2 linked regions of the Caenorhabditis elegans genome follow. The protein of the gene in region 2 purifies or fractionates together with the protein of the main gene of each other region. This does not show direct contact. Each region holds a gene or a part of one and is shown on either strand. Other genes may lie near its edges.

Region 1 (5,082 bases), on a different chromosome or scaffold from region 2:
AAAATTGAGGTTTTTGACTGAAAAATCGAATTTTTCTGCATTTTTTTCGCTTTTTTTAACTGAAAAATTGACTTTTTTGGCTGAAAATCGAAGATTTTTACTGAAATTCAGCGATTTTTCCATATTTTTAGCTGAAATTTCCAGATTTTCAGCCTTTTTTCAGCTCTTTTCCAGCCATCTACCTCGAGCAAATCGTTGGGCCCGCAATTGAGAAGAATAAGCGTCGTTTAGACCGTTGTGACAGGCTTCTCGTCATTTTTTGAGCCGGAATTTCCTCCGAAATTGGTGGTGTTGGCGCTTTTTGGAGCTGAAAATAGTGAAAAATCCGGGTTTTTAGGGGGTAAAAATTGGGAAAATCGGGGGTTTTTAAGCTTTAAAAAAAGTGGAAAACCACGATTTTTCAACTGAAAATGGTGAAAAAACCCGACTTTTGGGGTCAAAAACACCTAATTTTCATGATTTTTTCACTCAAAAACCCTGAAAATTCGCATTTTCCTGCAAAAACTCAACCTTTTCCTCACAAATGAACAAATCGTCGTAGCTGCTCTCGATATTCTCCTGGTTTTTCAATTTTCGGACCATCTGAAACGAAAATTCGTTGAATGTTTTGGTATTTTTCTGCGAAAAAATGCAAAAATTTGAGATTTTAGCTAGAAAATTGGGTTTTTGAGCTAAAAATTGCAAAAATTTTGGATTTTTAACTGAAAAATCGGGATTTTGAGATTAAAACTGGGTTTTCAAGGTAAAAATTGCAAAAAATTGATATTTTTGCAAGAAAATCGCAATTTTTTTTGACTAAAATTAAGTTTTTCGGCGAAAAAATGCAAAAATTTGGGATTTTTAGCTGGAAAATCGGGATTTTGAGATTAAAATTGAGTTTTTCTGCGAAAAATGCGAAAAATAGCTTCAAAATCAAAATTTTCAGGGCTTCCAACAGATTTTTACCCTGAAAATGGAGAATTTTAACCCAAAAATTCATAATTTTTTAGGTTTTCCTATGAAAAAGTTTATTTTTAGGTCAAAATTCCGGTTTTTCAGTGTAAAAACCAACGAAAATCAAGAAATTTTAGATGTAAAAGTCAACATTTTTCTGAATTTTCGGCAAGATTTTCAAGGAAAAATCGGATTTTTGACCGAAAATGCATAATTTATAAGTTGAAAAATGTATTTTTGTGGTTTTTTTGGCTGAAAAATATCAAGTTTTCCACGGGAAAATGTGATTTTTAAGTCAAAATCTCGGCCTTTAAGGCTAAAAACTTTCGAAAATTGAATTTTAAGCCAAAACTATGCTTTTTATGGCTGAAAATGCAATTTTTAGTCACAAAATTCAAAATTTTGAGGAAAAAATCGGGTTTTTAAGCGTATTTTTGTAGTTTTTGCCGTGAAAAATCGTTTTTTCGGACTAAAATTAGAGTTTTTTGGCTGACAAATGCGATTTTAAGGTAAAAATCCACGGTTTTCCGGGGTAAAAACTGTCGAAAAATCCGAATTTCGCATCAAAATCCGTCGTACATTATCAAGTGTAATGCTGGGAATCATCGCTGCAAATGGTCCAACGTCGAGTTTACAGATTACACAGGCTCTCGTATCACGTGTATGTCGTTCGATGCACGGCTCACAGTACGAGTGCCCACATGTTACCATTACGGGCTGAAAATTTGGAAAAATTGGCTGAAAATTGTAAAAATTAGGGTAGAAATGGGGTTTTTCGGCTGAAAATCGAAAAAATCGGCGGAAAACTGGGATTTTTGACATAAAAATTGGAAAAATCCGGGAAAATTGATGGTTTTTGGGCTAAAAATCGGAAAACTCCGCTGAAAAACTGGGGTTTCTTGAGCTAAAAATCTGGGAAAATGGGTGATTTTTGAGATGAAAAACGTAAAAAAACGGGAGAAAACTGTGTAGTTTTTGGGCTAAAAATTGTAAAAATCCTGAGAAACCGAGATTTTTGGGTTAAAAATCGGGAAAATCCTGGGAAAAATCGGTGATTTTTGAGCTAAAAATTGTGTAAAAATCGGCAGAAATCGGTGTGATTTTTGGGTTAAAATTGTAAAAATCCGGAAAAATTTGGATTTTTCGGCTGAAAATTGAAAAAAATCTTAAAATATTGAAGTTTTTTGAGCAAAAAATTGGAAAAATCTGGAAAAATGGGAGGTTTTTGAGCTGAAAATCGAAAAAAATCGGTTATTTTTGAGCTAAAATCAGAAAAATCCGAAAAAAATCGGTTATTTTTGAGCTAAAATCAGAAAAATCCGAAAAAATTGGGGTTTTTTGGGCTAAAAATTGTAAAAGTCCGGAAAAATTGTGGGTTTCGAGCTAAAAATCGTTAAAATATGGGAAAAACTGGAGTTTTTTGGCTAAAAACCGAAAAAATCCGGCAAAATTGGGGTTTTTAGGGCTAAAAATCGGAAAAATCCAAAATTTTAAGCTAAAATCTGTAAAAATCCGAGAAAAACTGGGGTTTCTGAGCTGAAAATCGAAAAAAATCTGAAAAATTGTGGTTTTTAAGCTAAAAACTGTAAAAATCCGAGAAAAACTGGGGTTTTTGTGCTGAAAATCTTAAAAATCCAAAGTTTTTAGTCTAAAAATCGTAAAAATCGGCAAAAAACTGTAAAAATCCGAGAAAATCTGTGATTATTATGCTAAAAATCGGAAAAAATGCGGTTTTCTAGCTAAAAATCCCCAAAAAATCGTGATTTTTGGCTGAAAATCTGGAAAAATGGGCAAAAACAAGACAATTTTCGGAATTTCAAGTTTTTATGAGAAAATTTCGCATTTTTCCCCGATTTTTCACATTTATAGCTGGAAAAAGACGAAAATTGCACATTTTTGGGTCAAAAATGGGTAAAATTAAGCGATTTTTAATGGAAAATCCGCCATTTTTCACGCAATTTTTCTTGAAATCCTCGGTATTTCCATGTTCTAACCCTGTCGAAAAGCTGATCACACAGTGGACAGAGGAGTTCCGAGCTCAAATCGCGTCGAACCGGCTGTTGAACGTCGTTGATGCACTGAAAATTGTGTTTTTAGGCGGTTTCCAGGGCGAAAAACACGATTTTCTGCTTATTTTCCAGCAAAAAATGCGTTTTTTCGATTTTTTTCGCCGCTAAAAATCCGATTTTACCGCTGTAGAAGTAGTTGCGTTGGACTCCAGCAGACGTGGCGATGAGTTGGCAATCGATAAATCGCTCTGCGAAGCCCGTATTTGAGCGGATGAAGTGTCTAAATCCGTCATTTTTGGGCTGAAAATGAGGATTTTGAGCCTGAAAAATCATTGAAAAACGCTGAAAAATAAGTATAAAATGCATGAAAAGTACAGAAAACTGGGAAAAACAACGGGGTTAAGGAATACAGAACTTTATATGTACAGAAATAATGAAAATTGTTAGAAAATTTCCTCGGCGACCTTCTTCAGCTCATCCTGAAACTCTTTTTGAAGAGAAAACGCGAATTCCTTGACTTTATACTGCTCCTGGAGGTCTTCGAGTTCTAGGAAATGGGAAAATTATTGTGAAAATTCACTAAATTTCTCACGTTTTTCCACCAATTTTCGCTTCTCGAGCGTCTCCTCCAGCTTCCGATCGGCCTCGTCCATTTCCTTGTTAATTATCTGCAGTTTGGAGGCGCAAACTTCTTGGAGATCCGAAAAATCTTGGGTTTTCGGCAGTTTTTCGACTTTTACCGCGAGAACTTCGTTGATCATGTCGTCGATTGATTTTTGCATTTTTTTTGATTGCTGAAAACTGATAAAAATTTGGAAAAATTATAAAAAACAAAAAAAATAAAAATAAAAAACACGAAAAACGTTTAAAAATTAAAAAAACAAAAAAACAAATTTCAAACAAATCCATTTTCGCGCCATCGGGTCTCACCACGACAGGCACTTGGCATCGTGCCAAGTGCAAGTGCGCTCCATCGCTCTCTTTTCCGAAAGAGCGTCTCGTGCAACGACATCTGACATTTTCGAAGGGAAATTTATTGATTTTTCGGCAAATTTTTGGGTTTTAAGGTGAAAAATCTATTTAAAAGTGTTAAAAAATTAACTTAAAATGGGGAAAATACCCTGAAAAATCGAGTTTTTTATCTTTTATCCTTAAAAACGTAAATTTCCCAACAAAAAAAAAATTATCCTGCATTTTCCCTTCGTTTTTACGAATTCCAGATGTCCGACGACAGTTCAAGCCCCCTCACAACTCTCAAAATCCTGATTATCGGCGAAAGTGGCGTAGGGAAGTCGAGGTGAGGGGTTTTCTCGCCCAAAAAAAATTTAAAAAAATCAATTTAAATTCAAAAATTTTCAGCTTAATGCTACGATTCGTGGACGATGTCTTCGATCCTGAGCAGGCTGCAACGATAGGTTCGTGGAAATTCCAGGGATTTTTGGATTTTTTGATTTTTAGGCCAAAAAAACCCTAAATTTATTGTTTTTTAGGCGTGGATTTCCGCGTAACTTCAATGGCAATCGACGGAAATCGTGTAAAACTCGCAATTTGGGACACCGCCGGCCAGGAGAGGTTCCGTACCCTCACGCCGAGCTATTATCGTGGAGCACAGGGCGTAATTTGCGTGTATGACGTCACTAGCCGCAGCTCCTTCGAGAAATTGAATCATTGGATGCAAGAAGTCGATACTTATTGCACAAATGACAATATTATCAAGATGATGGTCGCGAACAAGATTGATATGGTGCGAAAAAGCCGATTTTGTTCGATTTTTGGCCTAAAAAATAATTTTCAGCCAAATCGAGTGGTAACCCGCGAGGAAGGCCTAAAATTCGCAAAACGCCACCGCACACTATTCATTGAAGCTTCTGCGAAGACTAAGGAGGGTGTACAGTGCACATTTGAGGAGCTTATCGAGAAAATCATTCAAACGCCCGACTTATGGGACAATGACCGCCCGTCTTTTCGGTTGGGACAACCGACGGGCTCCAGTGGTGGCGGCGGAATGTGTGGATGCTAGGAAATTCTCGCGGAAAATTCGTTCATTTTGACATAAAATCGATATTTTTACTGTAAAATTCATCAATTTTCACCTAAAATCCTGTTTTTTTCATGTAAATTGTCAAAATTTGACCTAAAA
Region 2 (5,109 bases):
TATCACTACTTCACAGACATGACGGAGTCAATTTTTGACGGCCCGCCGGATGTGATTCATAGACTTTGAACCATTTCAATCGATAAGCTATTGGAGCTCCTGTAAGCTGGAATCTAATTGACTAACAACCAAAAACTGGCACAACCCTATTCATTGCTTTTGTAATGATGCTCTTTGGTGTACATTTTCATGTTTCCTCCACCCTCTTAGTTCTCAACCTATTTAATAGTGCCACGTCAATCCGAGAGTTTGTGATGAGTTTCTCGGTTAGTACGATTATAAAGAAGAAAAGTGAGACGCGAACTTCTTTTTTTCAACTCCATCTTCGTCGTCTCGGTGCACCTGGTGTGTTGTCCTATTCTATTCGGTTCTACCTCCTCCACCCCCAATCTATTCAATTTTTATTATTGACTTATCGGAAAGAGAGTCAGTAATAGGAGAGGTGGACACGCAGACGTTGTGAGAAAACGACAAGCGCCTCGACTGAGAGAATTGAAGAACTGACTCATTTTTGTACTGAACTGACTGACAGTGCAGACTGGTTGACACACCTGCTCAGAAGCTGCTGGATCACCTTACACATTCACGTGCGACACTATTTTATTCAATTATTGTTCGCGATTCAAGATTCAAGAACTGTTAAGATGACGAAGAAATCGTACGCATTTGCACTGGATCTCGATGATTTGTGCTGTGACGATCATCCATATTCATATTCACCACCTTCCACATCTTCACGGCATTCTGCATATTATCCATCTCAACAGCCTCGGACCTTTTTTCCGGAATATGAATTGACCAGGTTTCTATCTTGTTTCAAAATATTTTTTCCGGCTGCTTCTCTTCTTGAATATGACTCATCGCCCCCTCAATTTTTCGTTGGTCGTGCTGCAAGAAATTTTCCATGATTCATCATAGCAGCTTGTAGTATAGAAGAAGACCATCGTTGTTCTTGTTGAACATCAGATTTTACATTTTATGTCCGGCGCCTGAGTTCGCCTTACTTTTTTTGTGTTCTACGAGGTACGGGCAATATGATGAACGTAGCCACTAAATGGGGCAAAGTGGCCGAATATAATTAGTACGTTTCTAGATTCGGTTGACCTTTGATTTTATATCCAAAAAAGGCAGTTTAACGGTTTTCTTTTTGAAAAACAATTTTTTCTAACTGAGGGGCTGGAACTTCCTTTTCTATTGGAACAACGCGTCTCAAATGAAAAAAAAAAGTTTCCGAAGCGCTATTTTTCGAGTTTTTTTTTTTCATTAAATCGGCTGTAAAAGTCGTCATTTCTTCCCCTCTGTGCTGACGTCTTCACTCAAAATGAAGAATTGCAAGCACAACGAGATGACGTTGGATGGCCCCGCAAGCAGTCAGCATCGAATGAAAATTTAAACACAGAAATTCAACGAGCCCCGTCCATCAAAGCCACAAAAAAACGGGGGTCCGCGAAGGGAAATTAGAAAAAACGAAGAGGCATGGCGGGGGGGGGGGGGACACGATTTTATGTAGCACTTGGAGCAGCACTTTGTGGGGGCATTTATCGGTCGGCGGGGAGGGTTTTTTGGAGAAATTCCGATGTGATGGGAGCAATAGAAAGAGAAGGGGACACATATTCCCTCTTAGTTTTTTTCTCCTTTTGCTCACACTTTTTTCAAGAGGAATACAGACAGATAGAGAGAGACATGGATGCAATTTGTGTCTCTTCTCCAAAGTGTGGATGGATGGATGGATGGATGTGTATGGAGAAAGGCCGCCCATCTTCTTCTTCTTGCTCGCTTGCTCCTCTTCTACTGCCGGCGCTCTCCTCGTTTTTTCCAGTGTGTCCGTCCTCCACGCTTTGCTCCATTTCGGGGAGCCCCAGGGCTCTTACGCGTCCGTTTGACCTAATTCGATATGTTCAATGCGGCATACTCGTCGTTACTCGCTAGATTTATGTGCCAGCCAAGTAGTTCATCTGTGACGCCTATTCCGGAAGAGGAGGAATCTCTGATCCCGAAGCGAAAAGTGTCTGAAGTGGTCACTACAGCTCCGATGGCTCCCACACTAACTTCATCTGGGAAACGGCGAACGGTGAAAGTGTCACCTGATGGAGATCATGTCACACATAACCGAAAAAAGTTAATTTTAGTTCACATTTAAAATTAAAATAAAGCCCCAGTCCACCAGTTTTCAATAAAAATTTTTCCAGCTCTTCATCACATGCACGATCTACTGGACAATCGGGTATGTCAAGTCGATCGGCAGCACGACGCAACGATCAGGATGTACACGTTGGAAAGTATAAGCTATTGAAGACTATTGGAAAGGGAAATTTTGCAAAGGTGAGCACTTGATGATTGGAAATTTCGAAAAAAAATAGTTATCAAAAAATTAGAGCTTGAAACATACTGTAGCCGGTCTCGACACGACCGAGCGCCTTTAAGGATTACTGTAGTTACAAACTCCCGGTTTTTGGCAAATTTTCTGTTTTCCAAATTTTTTAAAAATTTTATTTATTAAAACCAGTCGATGACCGCGCCTCCGGCGCGGCCAACGACTGGCGGAGTTTAAAATGTATAATACATAGATGTCCTTTTAATCATTCAAAAATGTATCATTAAAAAAGTTGAAACTTCATCGATTAAATCGCATTTTCTTCTTCCATGGTATTCGATTCAGAAAATTCAAAGAGACAGTTAGAATGTTCTGATTTTTCTACACTCAAAATTATAAAACTGCGTTGCGTGTACGCCAAAATAGTCCCCGCCTTTTTCTCGTTCACTCACGGGGAAAAGGCAAAAAGCGGTACCCCAGGTAATATCAGCCGCCGACATCATTCGAGGTCCGCGCACCACACTATTTTTCTCACTGTTGGCGTGGCGAGCTGTCCCCCTCCCCCGAAAAAATTCCACAGAGTTACAGTTTTTCAATAAGTTAATAACTTTCCTTAACTGGAGAAGTCTGAATAATTAACTACTAATAGTAAGTTCTTTGAATATAGATGTGACGAAACAAATAAAAACTCCTACAGTTATAGGAGGTTGTAGAGCATTTCAGAACTTTTTTGAATTTTCCAGATGATTCTAGAACATTCTAGAATTTTCTTGAAACTTCCAGAAGGTGCTGAAACAAAAAATTGATTCCAGAACCAAAATTTGAATTTCCCGCCAAATGTTTTCCTCAGAAAATTTGAATTTCCCGTCAAAATCTTTTTCTCAGAAAATTTGAATTTCCCGCCAAAATTTTTCTTGGAAATTTGAATTCCCGCCAAAATTTCTTTTCTCATAAATTTTGAAGCTCCCGCCCATATTTTTAAAGGTCCCACCACGATGGGTCTCGCCAGTTCCAGGTGGTACTTAAGCTAACAAAAAGTTTCTCAGAAAATTTGAATTTCCCGCCAAAAATTTTTTCACTGAAAATTTGAATTTCCCGCTAAAATTTTTTTCACTGAAAATTTGAATTTCCCGCCAAAAATTTTTTCACTGAAAATTTGAATTTCCCGCCAAAAATTTTTTCACTGAAAATTTGAATTTCCCGCCAAAAATTTTTTCACTGAAAATTTGAATTTCCCGCCAAAAATTTTTTTCACTGAAAATTTGAATTTCCCGCCAAAATTTTTTTTACTGAAAATTTGAATTTCCTGCCAAAATTTTTTTCACTGATTGAATTTCCCGCCAAAATTTTTTTTACTGAAAATTTGAATTTCCTGCTAAAATTTTTTTCACTGAAAATTTGAATTTCCCGCCAAAATTTTTTCACTGAAAATTTGAATTTCCCGCCAAAATTTTTTTCACTGAAAATTTGAATTTCCCGCCAAAATTTTTTTCACTGATTGAATTTCCCGCCAAAATTTTTTTAACTGAAAATTTGAATTTCCTGCTAAAATTTTTTTCACTGAAAATTTGAATTTCCCGCCAAAATTTTTTTTACTGAAAATTTGAATTTCCCGCCAAAATTTTTTTCACTTAAAATTTGAATTTCCCGCCAAAATTTTTTTCACTTAAAATTTGAATTTCACGCCAACATTTTGGGTCTCACCACGAAGGGTCTCACCACGATGGGTCTCACCACGAAGGGTCTCACCACGAAGGGTCTCACCACGTAGGGTCTCAACACGATGGGTCTCACCACGAAGGGTGCCACGCCCACTATTCTCACTGAAATTTGGGCGTGACGTCACAGACTCCAAAGACTACATAGACTACAAACTCCGGACAGACGAACTGTATTTTTTTATATATAGTTAATGATATTTCCTTTTTGAGAAGTAATTTAACTTTTTTATATATTTTTTTTGAGAAACGAGAGAAAATTTCAGAAAAAAAAATCTCGGTTTCATTTTTTTACGCTTAAAATTTATTTTTCGAAAACCCAAAATCATATAAAAGTCATGAAAGAAATATAAACTTCGAAAAAATGATAGACATATTGTGAAAATTTGCAAAACATTGCACAAAAAACAGGGAATCACAACTACAGTACCCTTTAAAGGAGTACACTCTTTTGTTCAGAACATTTTAAGTCGTGTCCGGACCTTGGAGACCGTGCACCGTAACTTTTTATTAAAAATCTTTTTTTTTCCCAGTCGGAAATACGAAACAGCCTGACAAAAATAAATCTTAGATATATGACCATTTAATTAATTATTTTTGCAGGTAAAACTCGCAAAGCACGTGATAACCGGACATGAAGTCGCTATAAAAATTATCGACAAGACTGCTCTGAACCCATCGAGTCTTCAAAAATTGTTCCGAGAAGTGAAAATTATGAAACAATTGGATCATCCGAATATTGTGAAATTATATCAAGTGATGGAAACTGAACAGACACTGTATTTAGTACTCGAATATGCATCCGGTGGTGAAGTATTTGATTATTTGGTTGCACACGGAAGAATGAAAGAGAAAGAAGCAAGAGCCAAATTTCGACAAATTGTCTCTGCTGTTCAATATTTGCATTCGAAAAATATAATTCATCGAGATTTGAAAGCTGAAAATTTGCTTCTCGATCAAGATATGAATATTAAAATTGCTGATTTTGGATTTTCGAATACCTTCTCACTTGGAAACAAACTCGACACATTTTGTGGATCTCCACCGTACGCTGCTCCAGAATTATTTTCCGGTAAA

The links.
Region 1: the proteins of par-1 (region 2) and par-2 purify together in Caenorhabditis elegans (affinity purification with western blotting; 3 studies listed by BioGRID, with this or other methods). This does not show direct contact.

Annotation. Positions count from the first base shown.
Region 1 is NC_003281.10:1,079,562-1,084,643, reverse strand, and holds the start of par-2 (RING-type domain-containing protein), read right to left. Parts: upstream 3,250-5,082; 5' UTR 3,236-3,249; coding exon 3,125-3,235; intron 3,012-3,124; coding exon 2,928-3,011; intron 1,651-2,927; coding exon 1,513-1,650; intron 583-1,512; coding exon 511-582; intron 308-510; coding exon 183-307; intron 1-182. Other genes in the region: kbp-4 (KNL (kinetochore null) Binding Protein), read right to left, coding at 3,386-3,489, 3,535-3,724; Ras-related protein Rab-18, read left to right, coding at 4,163-4,239, 4,302-4,357, 4,433-4,686, 4,738-4,962.
Region 2 is NC_003283.11:14,123,324-14,128,432, reverse strand, and holds the start of par-1 (Serine/threonine-protein kinase par-1), read left to right. Parts: upstream 1-1,894; coding exon 1,895-2,118; exon of another isoform or gene 2,119-2,177; intron 2,178-2,189; coding exon 2,190-2,322; intron 2,323-4,635; coding exon 4,636-5,109. UniProt on the Caenorhabditis elegans protein: Required for cytoplasmic partitioning and asymmetric cell division in early embryogenesis. Phosphorylates and restricts the asymmetry effector mex-5 (and possibly also mex-6) to the anterior cytoplasm of the zygote.